4 linked regions of the Saccharomyces cerevisiae S288C genome follow. The protein of the gene in region 1 interacts with the protein of each later gene in a biochemical or structural test. Each region holds a gene or a part of one and is shown in the gene's direction. Other genes may lie near its edges.

The links.
Region 2: the proteins of CDC34 (region 1) and HRT1 form a complex in vitro, tested with the Saccharomyces cerevisiae proteins (21 studies listed by BioGRID, with this or other methods).
Region 3: the proteins of CDC34 (region 1) and CDC53 form a complex in vitro, tested with the Saccharomyces cerevisiae proteins (4 studies listed by BioGRID).
Region 4: the proteins of CDC34 (region 1) and CDC4 form a complex in vitro, tested with the Saccharomyces cerevisiae proteins (11 studies listed by BioGRID, with this or other methods).

Annotation. Positions count from the first base shown.
Region 1 is NC_001136.10:560,940-564,996, reverse strand, and holds CDC34 (SCF E2 ubiquitin-protein ligase catalytic subunit CDC34), read left to right. Parts: upstream 1-2,669; coding exon 2,670-3,557; downstream 3,558-4,057. Other genes in the region: PST1 (Pst1p), read right to left, coding at 136-1,470. UniProt on the Saccharomyces cerevisiae protein: Catalyzes the covalent attachment of ubiquitin to other proteins. Capable, in vitro, to ubiquitinate histone H2A. Mediates the initiation of DNA replication (transition of G1 to S phase in cell cycle).
Region 2 is NC_001147.6:68,099-71,565, forward strand, and holds HRT1 (SCF ubiquitin ligase complex subunit HRT1), read left to right. Parts: upstream 1-2,226; coding exon 2,227-2,592; downstream 2,593-3,467. Other genes in the region: PFK27 (6-phosphofructo-2-kinase), read right to left, coding at 1-656; mediator complex subunit MED7, read right to left, coding at 1,278-1,946; GAS4 (1,3-beta-glucanosyltransferase), read left to right, coding at 3,202-3,467. UniProt on the Saccharomyces cerevisiae protein: Core component of multiple cullin-RING-based E3 ubiquitin-protein ligase complexes (CRLs), which mediate the ubiquitination of target proteins.
Region 3 is NC_001136.10:222,433-227,965, forward strand, and holds CDC53 (cullin CDC53), read left to right. Parts: upstream 1-1,871; coding exon 1,872-4,319; downstream 4,320-5,533. Other genes in the region: SRF1 (phospholipase D regulator), read left to right, coding at 1-1,308; homocitrate synthase LYS21, read left to right, coding at 4,961-5,533. UniProt on the Saccharomyces cerevisiae protein: Core component of multiple cullin-RING-based SCF (SKP1-CUL1-F-box) E3 ubiquitin-protein ligase complexes which mediate the ubiquitination and subsequent proteasomal degradation of target proteins.
Region 4 is NC_001138.5:113,790-119,295, forward strand, and holds CDC4 (SCF ubiquitin ligase complex subunit CDC4), read left to right. Parts: upstream 1-2,355; coding exon 2,356-4,695; downstream 4,696-5,506. Other genes in the region: hexose transporter HXT10, read left to right, coding at 1-196; AUA1 (Aua1p), read left to right, coding at 1,201-1,485; WWM1 (Wwm1p), read right to left, coding at 1,319-1,954. UniProt on the Saccharomyces cerevisiae protein: Substrate recognition component of a SCF (SKP1-CUL1-F-box protein) E3 ubiquitin-protein ligase complex which mediates the ubiquitination and subsequent proteasomal degradation of target proteins. Recognizes and binds to phosphorylated target proteins.

The DNA of each region.
Region 1 (4,057 bases):
TTAAGTGTCGTTACTTTTATCTCTTTCCCGAAAATATTTGAATACATAAAATTTTTAAATAAATGTTTTTATTTGTTCACATGTCGTGAATGACAGGTACTAGTTATCAAAAATGAAGAATATTTCTTCATTCCATTACATTATAGACATGATGATTGCCGTCAAAAGACCGACCAAAGGGGTTGTTTGGCCAATTGGTGCCATGATAGCGGCATTGCCTTTGGAACTCTTAGAGCTAGAGCTGGAAGCGCCAGAACTAGAAACACTAGAGGCAGAAGCAGCAGCCTTGATATCGCCAGAAGTGAACTTCTTTTCCTCGGCCTTAGAAGATGACTTGGAAACCTTGGCAGTAGTTTGGCTTGATTGAGATTTGGAAGTGGACGATAGTTTAACAGATGTGGATGATGCACCATTTTTGCAGACAAAAGATTCACCCTTGATACCCCCTTTCTTTTGCAAAGCTTTCAAAGCATTACAGGAGAAATTGCTTGACTTTGATTCGACATCTGCGCCACCCTTGACAGACTTCAAAGAGTCTAGGTTCAAGGAGGTGAAGTTACCAACAACTTCCAAAGTACCGCCAATGGTTGTTAGGTTGTCGAGACCACCAATTTTTTGTAAACCAGTGTTGTTAGCAACGACAAGAGCACCACCTATGGTTGACAAATTAGAGAACGACAAGTTCTTCAAGTAGTCATTGGAAACGATACTGAAGGTTTGGCCAATGGTGTTTAGCTTAGTGAAATTCAAACTTGAGATGGAGTTGTTGATGAAACCCAATGAAGAGTTAATCTTTTGCAAGTTAGCGAAGGAAACAGAGTGGACATCGGTCAAACTGATATTGTTTGCCCAAACCAAGTCATCGAAGGTGATTTTAGTCTGGTTACCGTTGAACGAAAATTGTAAAGAATCGCTGACTGTTTCAACTGGAGATTTGATCGAGGTTAATTTCTTATTGTTATTGACGTTGAACACGTTAACTTTTTTCAAGGCTGAGAATCCATCGACAGATTGTAACGAAGTGTCGGAAATATAAATGTTGTTAGCAGATTTGATATTTGAAGTAAAACTGGAGATGGCGGGTAGAGTAATCAGTTTTATACTATCAACGCTCTGTAAAGACCCAAATGAAGCAGAAGTCAAGATTGTCAAACTCTGTAGGTTCAAAGAATCTGTGATGGACTCCAAGGAATCAGCAGCGAATGAGGTTAGATTTGTAGCGTTAAATATAGTTAGAGACCCGTTGATTTCTTTAACATTAGCCAAAGCACCAGTCTTCAAACCACCACCAATAGTTAAGTTCCCGACTAACGTATCACAGCGGCTATATTTATCTAAGTCACTCTGAGCTGTGGCCGTGGCATGTGAGCTTATGGTACAGGAAGAGGGTATGCTGGAAGAAGAGGAAGTAGCAGCCAAAGCTGACGTTATTAAGAGCGCAGTTGAAGCGATAAGTGAATGTAATTGCATGATATTTTTATAGCGAGCTTTTTTTTTTTGCTTCTCTCTTGGATTAGATCTATTGCAGCGTGATGTACTGTAAGATTCTATTGAACTATACAGAGCAAGAGTTGAATAGAGAAGAATATGCACGCTATTTATATGTTTATCTGTAGAGCATATATGGGTTTGCTCGTAAGGAACCTTGAGCGGTTGAATGATATTACTTAGAGTTAATGCTATGAAAACCCAGCCCAATCATTCAACATTACTCTTTGTAGTAATAAACTCTGATCAAAGTCCGAATCAGGGCAGTGTGCCTACGCTATTTTTAGAGACTCGTAACACTATTAAAACTAAAAGCCCTCTCTACTAATTAAGATATCCCAGCTTTGTGGTCTTTTTTGGGTTTCTTTGGTTTTTTTCCCTCAAGGATACCGAAAATGCGGGCCTTAATTTAAAGCCTTTTCCGTAAAGAGAAAACAAAAATGAGTTGGCGGGTCAACGGGGAGTGCTATTTTAAACGACTCAAATACATTTGAAAAAGAAAAAAATAGCCGCCCAGCTCCCACGTGCATATCACGTGCATTATAACCCGGTTTTCAGATAATAGAAATCCGCTCACTCTATTTATTTAAACGCTTTCTTTCTTTTTTTTTCTATTTATGGGGCCCACCCGCGGAAGAAAAGAAAAGCGGGCAATTACTAATGCGGGTTCAGTCCAAAGGAGATTTGATGTGGCAATAGCATCATAATGATGGAACCTACGTTAAGTGCGTTAAATAGGGAGAACTGTTTGTCACTTTATTCTTGTATACCGCTCTTAGTAATGATTTGTTTATGCTCTTTATCGTAACCTGCGCTTACAAAACTAACCACGTGCAGCATCGTCTTGTGTTTGTCCGTCCCTTGGGGTTCTTCGGATTTTCTATCTCCTCTTTTTTTTTCCTTACACTTTCATTTTGGGAAAAATTCGATTCTTTTTCTTTGATTTTTTTTTGGTTTCCTCTTGAATCTGTAAAGAACAAGAGCAGAAACTTAAAGTTAAGAAGGACAATAAAGAGCATACTATTACAAAATAATAGGAGCTTTGCGTTTGTTATTTCAGTCGAATAGTACTCCTTTATACTCTCTGCCGCTGACATCTTTGTCCTTTACTGTTTAGGACTTATAGCGACTGTTATTTTTTAGTACACCAAACAAGGAAAAAAGAACAATACAACGTAAATATGAGTAGTCGCAAAAGCACCGCTTCTAGCTTACTGTTACGGCAATATAGAGAACTTACTGATCCTAAGAAAGCTATTCCCTCATTTCATATAGAACTAGAGGATGATTCAAATATTTTCACTTGGAACATAGGTGTTATGGTGCTAAATGAGGATTCCATTTATCATGGAGGGTTTTTCAAAGCTCAAATGAGATTTCCGGAAGACTTTCCCTTTTCTCCACCACAGTTTCGATTTACGCCGGCTATCTACCATCCAAACGTTTACAGGGATGGCAGGCTTTGTATTTCTATTTTACATCAAAGTGGGGATCCTATGACCGACGAACCTGATGCTGAAACGTGGTCCCCCGTGCAGACCGTGGAAAGTGTGTTGATCTCTATAGTATCTCTATTAGAGGACCCCAATATCAACTCGCCAGCAAATGTCGATGCCGCTGTTGATTACAGAAAGAACCCTGAACAATACAAGCAAAGAGTCAAAATGGAAGTGGAAAGATCGAAACAAGATATCCCTAAAGGTTTCATAATGCCCACTTCTGAATCGGCGTACATATCTCAAAGTAAACTAGATGAACCAGAATCGAATAAGGATATGGCGGATAATTTTTGGTATGATAGTGATTTGGACGACGATGAGAACGGGTCCGTCATTTTACAAGACGACGACTACGACGATGGAAACAACCATATCCCCTTTGAAGATGATGACGTTTACAACTATAACGACAACGACGACGATGACGAAAGAATCGAATTCGAAGATGATGACGATGATGACGACGATAGTATAGATAACGACAGCGTCATGGATAGGAAACAACCCCACAAGGCTGAAGATGAAAGTGAAGATGTGGAGGATGTAGAAAGAGTTTCAAAGAAAATATAAAAAAGAACAGTAAGAAAGAAGACAAAATTTAACAAAACATATTCAGCTCAAACGCAAAACATGAATCAATTTATACATACGCGATACGTTGTCGATAAAGCACTTTACATTTTTCCCTATGATAATCTGAGATTGACAGGGGAAGAAGAAAATAACTAAGTGTCGAAGAAAAATTTAGAAAAATTAATTCATCATCCCATTTTACTTCTCGCAGTACACCGTACGAAAGAAGAAGGTAAAGAATTGAGAAAAAAAGTGTATATCATTACATTACTTTACACCACCTTATAACCACAAACGTGTATATTAAGAAAGTTTTTTAAAAAGAAAGAAATAAGAAAACCAAATCCGTCCCACTAATAGTTTCTAAGTTACTGTACTTTTTTTTTTTGAATATATATCACCATACATATGTATATAAATATATATTTGTGTGTGTGTGTTTATATCTATATCTCTTTGCATCTAATTCCTCATTACCTTTTTTATTTTTATTTTCT
Region 2 (3,467 bases), on another chromosome or scaffold:
TCTGTATTGAACGAACAAACCTCCTCAAATATAAATCTTCTTCTTTCGATGGTCGAATTTGTGGCGTCGAAGATTCCCACGTCACATTCATCGTTGTTGATTTCGTGAAACAACTTTTGCAAAGTGATCCTGGCATACGTTTCCTTTTTATCGTTATTTTTCGGATTAAATAAGTCTTCCGAAGATGTATTCGACAAAAGCAAAGGCTTTGAAATGGTAGCACAACTGATTTGCCTTCTTATCTTACCAGCATTAAAAACTTTACAGCGTAATGAATTAGTTAGCGGATTGTTCTTCAAACATTGAATTAAATGAGAAGAAATGGTAGACTTCCCAGTAGCTGGTAGCCCAATCAAAACAATCATAAACTTGTTAACTTTTCCATTTGTATACGTAGGGTCTGCATTGTCTCTTTTGTAATTCAGTGTAATGGGTAAGTGTAACGGGTCGTTAGAAATAAACCTTGGGACCTCTGTAGACAGCAGTGAACTTTTGTGATTATCGAAAAAAACAGAATCTTGACAATCTAAAGTGGCTCTGTCGAGAGATGCGCTTGAATAGCTGTTACCGGTGTTAAGTGAAAAAAGAGAATTCGAGGAATTATATTCGGAAGTCAAATATCCATCGTGAGAGTCTGAATCGGAAGAACCACCCATTTTCAAACTTCCAGCGGAAAAAACGCGTTCGTTATCCCTTTTCTTCCTTTTCCTTATATCTAAAATATTAAAAATCGCGTAAGGTAATTTGTTTCGAGGGCAGTGGAACTTGAAGCCAAATAAGAAGTATAAGTACTGGGCTCTCCTAGTATTTCCGGTTTAGTGTTACTCGTATATGAGCGTATCAGACTTTTTAACACCCTCTAAAAAAGCAAATAAGTTGGTTTGCTGTGGCACCAAAATAAGCGAAAACACCTTTGTTTAGAGCACGTCTTCTTTTATATAAGCCAATCTTCCACACGAAAAACCGAGTAATCCAATTTACTTTTTCTACTTTTTTTTCATTATCAATCGATTCAGATGCCCAGAGAAGAAAAAGAAAAAAAAGGAAAACAATTTCCGTTGCAGACTCATCTGTGCGCGATTTCTGTGAAAAGGTGGGGCACTTGTGCCTGGAATCTCGGAAATACGTCAATTAATTTTTGGTATATATTCCGATAAGCTATAGTTCGTATTTTTCCGTTCCGAGGGAGGTGTACGGGTGGACTACCACGTGCCTACTATACGCTATACGGTAGTTGAAAATGTATATAGTTACACAAATGATTTATAATAGTGTGGTCATTGGGACGACGATGGAGGAGATTGTGATCCGGTTCTTAAGGTGTCCTGTATGCTGGTGAGTTTGTCGTGTACCTGTTTGCATACTTGCTCGATCTCGCGAATTTCCCCGCGCTTGTATTCTAATTGTTCTTCCAATAGCATAATAAGGGACTCTCGGGACTGATGGGGTCTGTACTCATTAAGTAGGTGGTGAATATTGACAAGAATGGTCCTTATGTTCTCCACTTTGCGCTCATACATATCCGGATTTATGCTCAATACGCCGATGAGTTCCAAGTAATTTAGCAGGAGGGATTTCAATAGTTTGCGTAGCTCTTGGATTTTGTATTGATAATTTGTGCTTTCGTTTTCTGTGGATTTCTTATAAAGTTGGGTGAGTCCCATGCTCTCTAAATCGGGCAGTTGGTCCTTCACCTGCCATATACTCCCAAACGCTCGGTACTGCTGATTTTTGGGCATGGGGGGTGGGATTAGGTAATCTAGCGCACATGTAATCTCCTCTTCACTGCCGCCGTTACTGTTATTTGGAGCCGTCTGCTTCGCACTTGCGGCCTTCTTTTCTTTGTATTTTGGTAATTTTTCCAGATTGGACTGTGTGAAAAACTTCACGTATGGGGGTGGAGGTGGGTACAAGGAGCTAACCTCATTACCAGGATCATTGGACATTTTTAGTTTGTGAATTTTTTTTTTACTAGCTTAAATTTGGGATATGAAACCTCTTTTATGTCATATTTGCACGTCTAATGACCTGCCTGCTGAAAATGCAAGATTCGTTGTTTAAGTTCTAACTAACATTTCGTATTTCGTGATAATAGTTTCTTTTAAAGGTGTGAAGAGGGAGATCATGAAACCCACAATAGACGTATGGGCTTCAATATGTGCAATGTTGGTTGCTACTAAATGTCTTTCTCCAGTGGCAGAGAACTTTAAAGAGAAATAGTTCAACATGAGCAACGAAGTTGACAGGATGGATGTTGATGAAGATGAATCGCAAAATATTGCGCAAAGCTCAAACCAAAGTGCGCCAGTGGAAACCAAAAAGAAGAGATTTGAAATTAAGAAATGGACCGCAGTGGCGTTTTGGTCATGGGATATAGCTGTTGACAACTGTGCTATTTGCAGGAACCATATAATGGAACCATGCATTGAATGCCAGCCAAAGGCCATGACGGACACTGATAATGAATGTGTAGCAGCCTGGGGTGTCTGTAATCACGCTTTCCATTTGCACTGTATTAATAAATGGATCAAGACAAGAGACGCATGCCCATTAGATAACCAACCTTGGCAGTTAGCAAGATGCGGTAGGTGAAAAAATGAATTGCCCGTAAACATTTAAATCATACCGAGGTAGAAGGATTATGGCATGTTCCTTTTTTTTTAGAGTATGTCAACTGGCGCAGTAGATACATGTTTTTCTCTTCCACGTCGAATTTTGTTATATACATAGCATAATCGAGTTGTATGCACCCTTTTTGTTTATCTCGTTAGTAACTCGGGGTAGGAATAAGACATCCACAAAGGTGACAGAACAAAATCATCCTAGCCTTGTTCATAATCTACCTCTATATAGCCGCTAAAAAATTAGTAGTATTTTGACTCTTTAAGAGCACATTTATTATCAGGCTGCTTTTACATACTTCTTTTGTTTAAAACATTTAAAGACGATCACTGCCCTTCCAAAGGACAAATATATATACACAAACACTAGGCCAAAAGTTCACTTATAATAATTTAGTGGTAATTATGTTGGGTAAAGAAATTGCCAATAGTCTTTTTTTTCCGTATTGTAAGGTGAGACTGAGGTAGCGGCACAAAAAAACGACACATAATAGGATACTGAGTAAAGCAGTATTAAAATAAAAAAATATATTTTACCTCGAACGCTACAAATAAAGCAGAAAAGAACAAAATCGTGAGCATGATGGTTTTTTCGAGCACCTTTATTTTTCTAATTTTGGAGTTAGTTGTACTGTGTGAAGCTTCAGTCCACACCATTCAAATTAAGGACAAGCATTTCGTTGACACAGTGACTGGAAAACCATTCTTCATCAAAGGTGTGGATTATCAGCCAGGAGGCTCTTCCGACGTTAGTGAAAAGCAGGATCCGTTATCCAATCCAGATGCATGCGCTCGTGATATTTTATTATTTCAAGAATTGGGAATAAACACAGTAAGAATTTATTC
Region 3 (5,533 bases), 340 kb from region 1:
GATTCTAATTCCAGCCAAGAAGCGTATTCTGATACAACATCCACGAACGCTTCTAGAATCGCAGATCAAAATCAACTTAATTTAAACGTGGATCTTGAAAAAAATCAAACAGTAAGGAAGTCAGGTTCACTGGAAGCATTACAGAATGCAAAGATACATGTTCCCAAACACAGTGATGGTTCACCACTAGACTATCCAAAATTAAATACTTACACGTTTGTGCCTACCACAGTGCCGCCTTATGTTTTAGAGGCGCAGTTTGATAAATTAAGACTTCAGGATAAGGGCACCGTTGATGGAAATGTTACCGATGATAAAAATCTTCCAAAAGAGTTTAAATGGGGCCAGTTTGCATCTACCATCGGCTGTCATTCTGCATACACTAGAGACCAAAACTACAATCCTAGTCACAAATCCTACGATGGTTACTCTCTATCATCATCTACCTCATCAAAAAATGCGGCTCTTAGAGAAATTTTAGGTGACATGTGCAGCGAGTGGGGAGGTGAAGAACGACTAGAAGGTGTTCTACATTCAGAAATAGGTGCCAATTTAGAGTTCAACACGACAGAAGAGAGAAAAGAGTGGTTACAATATATCGAAAAGGTAAAAGATTTCTATTACGGTGATAATAAGAAGAACCCAGAATCACCCGAATCAGTACACAACAAAGTTTACAAGTCAGATTGGGTAAATGAGCTCAATAAAGAGAGAGAAAAGTGGCGGAGGTTAAAGCAAAGGAAGTTACAACAGTGGAGACCTCCTTTGACGTCGCTATTACTTGATAATCAATATTTGATTTTGGGTTTGAGGATTTTCACTGGTATATTATCGTGCATTTCACTTGCTCTGGCAATCAAGATTTTTCAAAACTCAAGATCAAATAACACCATCAGTGAAAGTAAAATCGGGCAACAACCAAGCACCATAATGGCCATCTGCGTCAACGCCGTGGCGATTGCGTATATTATTTACATTGCACACGATGAATTTGCTGGTAAACCTGTTGGTTTGAGGAATCCGTTAAGCAAACTGAAACTAATTTTGTTGGACTTACTTTTTATAATTTTTTCAAGCGCTAATCTAGCGCTGGCATTTAATACTCGTTTCGACAAAGAGTGGGTTTGCACTTCTATTCGCAGGTCAAATGGAAGCACGTATGGATACCCAAAAATACCGCGTATCTGCAGAAAACAGGAAGCTTTATCCGCTTTTCTGTTCGTTGCCTTGTTTATGTGGGTAATCACTTTCTCGATCAGTATTGTTAGAGTAGTCGAAAAAGTCAGTTCAATTACCAACAGAAACTGAGCTCGACAAATATAGAAATTAAAAGAATTCTTTTAGATACCAAGATTGACATTTATATGCATTGTATATTTTTGACTTAAAAAATTACTCCGGCTTGGCATTTATTCATTAACGGCGGGTTTGATTATATTAGGCTTTGTGCGATATAATATGTATTACCCGAAGGGAGGGCTATTGCACTTTCTTTTCCTTTCCGTTTTAAGGGCCCTTTTTCATTTCGATGTTTGATGGACACACATGAAGTGAAATGTGGCAAATAGAACATCTAGAAAAACTAGGGCATTAGGTAAAGTACCCCAGCAGAACTTCACTTTACAACGCAATTGATTCATATCACTGCTCTTTTATATTGTCCTTTTTCTCTTTTAGAGCTTTTCATCCGCATCTTCTAACTTCTGTGCACCCCTTTCATTGTTGATTACATTTTACCTCAGTTACACATTTCTTTTAGCAATTCGACATTGCTTCTACTTACCGATAAATAAGCGTACATTTTTGAGTCTTGAAAGGATTCTTACATATACCTAAACAAAGAATAACAACAAAATCGCAAGCAGCAAAGCATGTCTGAGACTCTGCCTAGATCTGATGATTTAGAGGCCACTTGGAACTTTATAGAGCCAGGAATTAACCAAATACTGGGTAATGAGAAAAACCAAGCATCCACGTCTAAGCGAGTTTACAAAATTCTTTCTCCAACCATGTATATGGAAGTCTATACCGCAATTTATAACTACTGTGTGAACAAATCACGCTCGTCTGGACATTTTAGTACTGACAGTAGAACTGGCCAATCAACAATTTTGGTTGGCAGTGAGATTTACGAAAAGTTAAAGAATTATTTGAAGAATTACATTTTAAATTTTAAGCAGTCTAATTCAGAGACCTTTTTGCAGTTTTACGTCAAGCGCTGGAAAAGGTTTACAATAGGTGCCATTTTTTTAAACCATGCATTCGATTATATGAATAGATATTGGGTTCAAAAGGAAAGAAGTGACGGCAAAAGGCATATTTTTGATGTAAACACCTTGTGCTTGATGACATGGAAAGAAGTCATGTTTGATCCGAGTAAAGATGTTTTAATAAACGAATTATTAGACCAGGTAACCTTGGGAAGGGAGGGGCAAATAATTCAAAGAAGTAATATTAGCACTGCCATAAAGTCTTTAGTTGCACTAGGTATCGATCCACAGGATTTGAAAAAGTTGAACCTAAATGTCTACATCCAAGTTTTCGAAAAGCCATTTTTAAAGAAGACTCAGGAGTACTACACGCAATATACAAACGATTATTTAGAGAAACACTCGGTAACTGAGTATATTTTTGAAGCACATGAAATCATCAAACGTGAGGAAAAAGCAATGACAATATATTGGGATGATCATACAAAAAAACCACTATCCATGGCATTAAACAAGGTCTTGATCACAGACCATATTGAAAAGTTGGAAAATGAGTTTGTTGTCCTTCTGGATGCCAGAGATATTGAAAAAATTACTTCTTTGTACGCACTAATACGCAGAGACTTTACATTAATCCCAAGAATGGCTTCAGTGTTTGAAAATTATGTTAAAAAGACAGGTGAGAATGAAATTTCGAGTCTACTGGCAATGCATAAACACAATATTATGAAAAACGAAAACGCAAACCCTAAAAAACTAGCACTAATGACAGCTCACTCCCTTTCTCCTAAAGACTATATCAAGAAATTACTGGAAGTACACGATATATTCTCTAAGATTTTTAATGAAAGTTTCCCCGACGACATACCTTTAGCTAAAGCTCTAGATAATGCGTGTGGTGCTTTCATCAACATCAACGAGTTCGCATTACCTGCTGGATCTCCAAAAAGTGCCACCTCGAAGACTTCCGAGATGCTAGCTAAGTACAGTGATATACTATTAAAGAAGGCCACCAAACCTGAAGTGGCAAGTGACATGTCAGATGAAGATATTATAACAATATTCAAATATTTGACCGACAAAGATGCGTTCGAAACTCATTATAGAAGACTTTTCGCCAAGCGTTTAATTCATGGCACTTCAACATCAGCAGAAGACGAAGAAAATATTATTCAAAGGCTGCAAGCGGCAAATAGTATGGAATATACAGGCAAGATAACTAAAATGTTTCAAGATATTAGACTTTCCAAGATCTTGGAAGACGATTTTGCTGTCGCCCTGAAGAATGAACCAGATTACTCTAAAGCAAAATATCCAGATCTACAACCATTTGTATTGGCAGAAAATATGTGGCCATTTTCATACCAAGAAGTTGAATTTAAGCTACCCAAGGAATTGGTACCATCTCACGAAAAATTGAAGGAGTCATACAGCCAAAAGCATAATGGTAGAATATTGAAGTGGCTATGGCCATTATGTCGTGGCGAATTGAAGGCAGATATTGGAAAACCCGGCAGGATGCCGTTCAACTTTACGGTAACACTGTTTCAAATGGCAATTTTGCTACTATATAACGATGCTGATGTATTAACCTTAGAAAATATTCAAGAGGGCACGAGCTTAACCATTCAGCACATCGCAGCGGCAATGGTACCATTCATCAAATTCAAACTGATTCAACAGGTCCCACCAGGGCTAGATGCTCTCGTGAAACCTGAAACACAATTCAAGCTATCACGTCCTTATAAGGCGCTTAAGACCAATATTAATTTCGCTAGCGGAGTCAAAAACGACATTCTGCAATCGCTATCCGGTGGAGGCCACGATAATCACGGTAATAAGTTAGGAAACAAACGCTTGACGGAAGACGAAAGAATAGAAAAAGAATTGAATACAGAAAGGCAGATTTTCTTGGAAGCTTGTATTGTGAGAATAATGAAAGCGAAAAGAAATCTGCCACATACAACATTGGTCAACGAATGCATTGCGCAATCACACCAAAGGTTCAATGCAAAGGTTTCTATGGTCAAGAGAGCCATCGATAGCTTAATACAAAAGGGATACCTACAGAGGGGAGACGATGGTGAATCGTATGCTTACCTTGCTTAATCATCTTTGAAGGCTTGTGCTGATCGAACGAAGCAAATCCTACGAGTAAATACATAAGCGTATACATATATATATATATATATATATATATATATATATGTATATATATATATGTGTGTGTGTGTAATTGTGTGTATTCAACTGAACTATGAAGAGTCTTTGACCTCTTGAGAATCTCATAGTATGAAGATATGGCACTTCTCTTTCCGTTGTAACATCCTTTACCGGGCGGCTTTTCGGCCTGCTTGAGAAGAGATCAGGCTGAAATGATGAGACTGACAACAAGGATCAGTCAGTGGCAGAGTTGAAATTCCGCTGGAAATCGTCACCAGCAGCTACCAGCTCCAAGAAATCCGCGTAGAAATCACGTCGCGCAATGTGCGATAGTGGTGGAACAGCGAAAATTAGTCACTTTGCAAAGATGCCAAGCTGATCGTTCTCGTTGTGTGTGATTCTACGATATTGCGCATGAGTGGTGTTGAGCATGCGTTTGTTCGCATTTTCATGCAGTCTCTTATATACTAATATATATATGCAACAGATTTCAAAATTTATCTTTCTTCTTGTTGCGTTTAGGCCTTTATTTGCTACACATTTAAAAGTGCAACGACAACCCAAGTAATTGTATACTTTAACAAACCATGTCTGAAAATAACGAATTCCAGAGTGTCACCGAATCGACGACTGCTCCAACCACTAGTAACCCATATGGCCCAAATCCTGCGGATTATCTATCCAATGTTAAGAATTTCCAGTTGATTGATTCAACACTAAGAGAGGGTGAACAATTTGCCAACGCATTCTTCGATACTGAAAAAAAGATTGAAATTGCTAGAGCCTTGGATGATTTCGGTGTGGACTACATCGAGTTAACCTCTCCCGTAGCATCCGAACAATCAAGAAAGGACTGTGAAGCTATATGTAAACTAGGTTTAAAGGCCAAGATCCTTACACACATTCGTTGTCACATGGACGATGCCAGAGTCGCCGTAGAGACTGGTGTCGACGGTGTCGATGTTGTTATCGGCACCTCCAAATTTTTAAGACAATATTCCCACGGTAAGGATATGAACTACATCGCCAAGAGTGCTGTTGAAGTCATTGAATTTGTCAAATCCAAAGGTATTGAAATCAGATTTTCCTCTGAAGATTCCTTCAGAAGTGATCTCGTTGATCTTTTGAACATTTATAAAACCGTTGACAAGATCGGTGTA
Region 4 (5,506 bases), on another chromosome or scaffold:
CATGGGTTGCTTAATCTTTTCGTACTTCTACGTTTTCTTCTTTGTTTGCGAAACAAAGGGATTAACTCTGGAGGAAGTTAATGAAATGTACGAAGAAAGAATAAAGCCATGGAAGTCCGGAGGTTGGATTCCCAGTTCTAGAAGAACACCACAACCAACAAGCAGTACACCATTAGTTATTGTTGATAGTAAATAATTTCTAAATATTCTTGTACTCTGGTAAACAGAAATAACAACAGATAATGGATTGATGCTTTACTTCTATTTCATGGAGATTGGTTTTATATAATAGCCTTTATTAATGGCGTCACAAATTGAAAAAAAAATTAAAAAAAATAAGACGGACACATTTGCGACGCCGGTGAATAAATGCATATAAGTAGTTTATAAGCTAGCTACTACTCAGAAATAATTTCAAAAAAAAAAAGAAGTGGGCACTTTAAAATGAAGATTAGCTATAGTAAATTACTGTAGTATAACAACTACCTGCTATCTTTCTGAAAAAATCAGGCAATGTAAGGTCAAACTTGTACCATCGACATATATAATGTTTTGAGATATAAGTAACTAGAGACCAGTTTATACAGGATCTTACCTCTTTTTACCGTTATGAAAGCTTTATTACTGCGTTGTTAGTAAACACACATATTATTTTCGGGTAGTCCTGTCGATGTTCCAAGGCTTTGCATTTATCATTGTTTCCGCTTCATCGGTGGTATTAGTTAGTGTATCTGTATGTGAAGTATGTGGATAGGTGCTTCTATTATTGGAACAAAACACCTTAAACGCGCACTAGGTTATAGGAAAGGGTCCATTATTCAAAGAACGGCTTATTGAAAAGTATGTTGTAAAGCTCGGTCATATCGCGCATAGCCACGATAAGGCGTGGTGCTGCTTCATAGATTGAGAGGCGCAGTCAATACACAACCATACCGGTAGTTTGATAAATGATACTATCATTCCGGAAGCTCTCTAGTAAGCTGTAGGTGGCATATACGGTATCTATCATCTAGTAATAGCTATTGATTTTTTTCTCGACTATGCTATATGTGTTGTGATGGTTCACTTAGAAGTGAAAAAGTAGCAATAAATTAGACAGACAGAAGTAATTGAAGCTACATTCAACAACATGGCTAAGTAAAAAAGCGTAGAATATCATGATGGGTTTTTTTATCTTTTAATTGCTTTCTATGTAGTATAATGGACCGATCTTTGCAAGTATATATCTGTATGTATCCATATTTAGATGGCAGCAAGCAATATAGATTTGATGAGCTTATATCATTTTATCGTCCTTGTCCAAAAAGTCTTGATAACATTAAAAGTCACTACCGTCAAATCCATCATCAAATCCGCCGTCGAACCCACCAGCATCATCAAATCCGCCGTCGGACCCACCAGCATCATCACCGTAGTAATTGTTCTCGACAACGACAGTGTCTGGTCCGTCATAGTTGTGGTCGTCAAATGCGTGTTCTAGCATAGCTCCACCTAACAAACCCGCACCAACACCAAGTAAACCACCCATCATGGCACCGCCGTGTCCACTACCTTTACTGGTGCTTGGCGCAGTTCCATAGTATGCTTGCTGTGGTGCTGCTGCTGGCATAGGGGCTTGTTGAGGATAGTAACGCTGCTGTTGAGGGTATTGAGGGTACTGAGGCTGTTGAGGCTGATAGTAACGAGGTTGCTGTGCTTGGGCCCCTGCTTGCACTTGCGGTGTTGATTGAGAAGAATAAGGTGGAGGAGCCTGGTCTGCCTGTTGACGAGAACTCTTCTCATTGTTAACACCTGGTGGAGGACCTTTGGGTCTTGGCCATGTTGTTCCCCTTGGTGGTTCCCACTGAGAGCTGTTCGTAGATAAATCTACATAATACCAAGTCTGGTATTCATCATCAAAAACAGCCTTCCAGCCAGAAGGCACTTGAGGAGGATTACTTTTACTTTGAGCCATTACTTTAAAATGTTTTGGGTTTTTTTATCGACTCTCTTGTAGTGAGTGATAAAAGCAATTCAGAAAGAGTCTTTTGATTATCATGACTAAAGTAAACTTTTTCTTCCAGCTGCCGGCTCGGTCAGGTGGACGAAACAAAAAAGCCTGTTGAAATAATACTGAATACGTTAAAACGTCACAGCGCTTGTATATCTTGTGAGAGAAAGGCTATTACCACTGTTATATGAATATAGATTGCTCAACAAAGCGTGTCTTTTTCTGTGTGCTTAAAATATAGTGTCTTTTTTGGGAAAAAAACGTTTATTTACAGTATTCTCTTCTTCTTCTCCTCATTCAACTTGTTGCGGTTCGAAGAAAATTACGCATAAAGAATCAAAGAAAGGCAAAAATTACGCTGTACGATGGGGTCGTTTCCCTTAGCTGAGTTTCCATTACGTGATATCCCTGTTCCTTATAGCTACCGTGTGTCTGGCGGTATAGCTTCCTCAGGTAGTGTTACTGCGCTTGTTACTGCCGCTGGCACTCATCGAAACTCGTCCACGGCTAAGACAGTTGAGACAGAAGACGGCGAAGAAGATATCGATGAGTATCAGAGGAAAAGAGCAGCTGGTTCTGGCGAATCCACTCCTGAACGCAGTGATTTCAAAAGGGTAAAACATGATAATCACAAAACCCTCCATCCAGTTAACTTACAGAACACCGGTGCAGCGTCTGTGGATAATGACGGTCTGCACAATTTAACAGATATATCCAACGATGCAGAAAAACTTTTGATGTCTGTGGATGATGGTTCTGCCGCACCTTCTACATTGAGTGTAAACATGGGAGTGGCATCTCATAATGTTGCTGCTCCCACTACCGTCAATGCGGCAACAATAACTGGCAGTGATGTTAGTAACAATGTTAATAGTGCTACTATTAACAATCCTATGGAGGAAGGAGCGCTGCCGTTATCACCCACTGCTTCCTCTCCAGGTACCACAACTCCTTTAGCTAAAACTACGAAAACTATCAACAACAATAATAATATCGCCGATTTGATAGAATCCAAAGATTCTATAATCTCCCCTGAATACCTTTCTGATGAGATTTTCAGCGCAATAAACAATAATCTCCCTCACGCATACTTCAAAAATTTATTATTTAGATTAGTTGCCAACATGGATAGGAGTGAACTATCCGACTTGGGGACTTTAATCAAGGATAATTTAAAGAGGGACCTAATAACGTCTTTGCCTTTTGAAATAAGTTTGAAAATTTTCAATTATTTGCAATTCGAGGATATTATAAATTCCCTTGGGGTCTCCCAAAATTGGAACAAAATAATTAGAAAATCTACATCGTTGTGGAAAAAACTTCTGATATCGGAAAATTTTGTGAGCCCAAAGGGTTTTAATTCTCTCAATCTCAAACTCTCCCAAAAATACCCAAAACTCTCACAACAAGATCGCCTTAGATTATCTTTTCTGGAGAATATATTCATTTTAAAAAATTGGTACAATCCCAAGTTTGTACCACAAAGGACCACGTTAAGAGGCCATATGACGAGTGTTATTACGTGCTTGCAATTTGAAGATAATTATGTCATTACGGGGGCTGATGACAAAATGATCAGAGTTTATGATTCGATAAACAAGAAATTTCTTCTACAACTATCAGGTCATGATGGTGGGGTTTGGGCATTGAAGTATGCCCATGGCGGTATTTTAGTCAGCGGTTCTACAGACAGAACGGTGCGAGTTTGGGATATTAAGAAAGGTTGTTGTACCCATGTGTTTAAAGGTCATAACTCTACGGTGAGGTGCCTAGATATAGTAGAATATAAAAATATCAAGTACATTGTTACTGGTTCGAGAGATAACACTTTGCACGTTTGGAAATTGCCCAAGGAGTCCTCCGTTCCTGATCATGGGGAAGAACATGATTATCCATTAGTCTTTCATACCCCTGAGGAGAACCCATATTTTGTTGGTGTTTTAAGAGGACATATGGCATCTGTAAGAACTGTCTCAGGCCACGGTAATATTGTCGTTAGTGGCTCCTATGATAATACACTGATTGTGTGGGATGTTGCGCAAATGAAATGTTTGTATATTTTAAGTGGACATACGGATCGTATTTATTCGACAATCTACGATCATGAAAGAAAAAGGTGCATCTCTGCCAGTATGGATACCACTATTAGAATTTGGGATTTGGAAAATATATGGAATAATGGAGAATGTTCCTACGCAACAAATTCAGCATCGCCATGCGCCAAAATACTTGGTGCTATGTACACTTTGCAGGGTCATACAGCTTTGGTCGGTTTATTAAGATTATCCGACAAATTTTTGGTCAGTGCCGCTGCAGACGGTTCAATAAGGGGTTGGGACGCAAACGACTACTCTAGAAAATTTTCCTACCATCATACCAATTTGAGTGCAATTACCACATTTTATGTATCGGATAATATTTTGGTGAGTGGATCGGAAAATCAGTTCAACATCTATAATCTACGGAGTGGGAAATTGGTCCACGCAAATATTCTAAAAGATGCTGATCAGATTTGGTCGGTTAATTTTAAGGGCAAAACACTTGTTGCAGCAGTTGAAAAAGATGGACAGAGCTTTTTAGAAATTCTGGATTTCAGCAAAGCTTCAAAAATTAACTACGTTAGCAATCCCGTAAACTCCTCGTCGTCGTCTTTGGAATCCATTTCTACTTCTTTGGGTCTAACGAGGACAACTATAATACCATGACCTTTCCCAGAGAATAAGCATTGACTCATACTTAGATAATATAGCTTAATAAGTAGTTATATAATCAGTAAAAAAGTACAATAACAACTTCGTACATTTTATTGAATATAAACTGCAGCTAAACTGCTTGTATGTTCAATTTTAATTGTGTTTACAAAAAGGGTGCCGTTTATTAATTAATGTTTCTTCCCTGAAAATATGGAAAGTACAAGTTTTTAGTTGAGAAGGGTTTAAGAAAGTTTTGAAAATGATCTAAAAAAATATAAAAGCAATCAAAGAAATAAAAGCTGGAAAAATGCGTAATAACCGAAGTGACTAAAATTTCTTTACGCGCCAAATAAGAAATCGATGCTCTTGAAAGTAGCAACCATTTTTTAAATAATATATTCCTGATGGTTCTTGGCCCAAGAGTTTTCTTGAACTTTTAACGTTAAGAAGTTGATTCTGCTGATTTTTTTCAAGTTATCAAGCGTTATGTTTTGAAACATCTGTTCCGTTTTCAGTTTTTCAAAAAGATCGATATTCTCTTGAGAATTAGGAAGTTCTACGCTCAACCTCCCGTGGGCAGAAGAAATACAAAAGCTAATACAATTGTGTTAGAATAAAGTTCTAATATTATCTAATTAGTAGTATTCATGTTACTAGTATATTATCACATGATATTTCTCAAATTGGACAATGTAAATAATGAGTGTTTTTATGACACAATCTTTATCGTTAGATGTTTCAACGTTCCAAGGCTTGGTTCTATCGCTCTTCTCTTCAAATTGTAATCGTTTGTCATGATAAACACGTACGGGAAAAAAAAAAA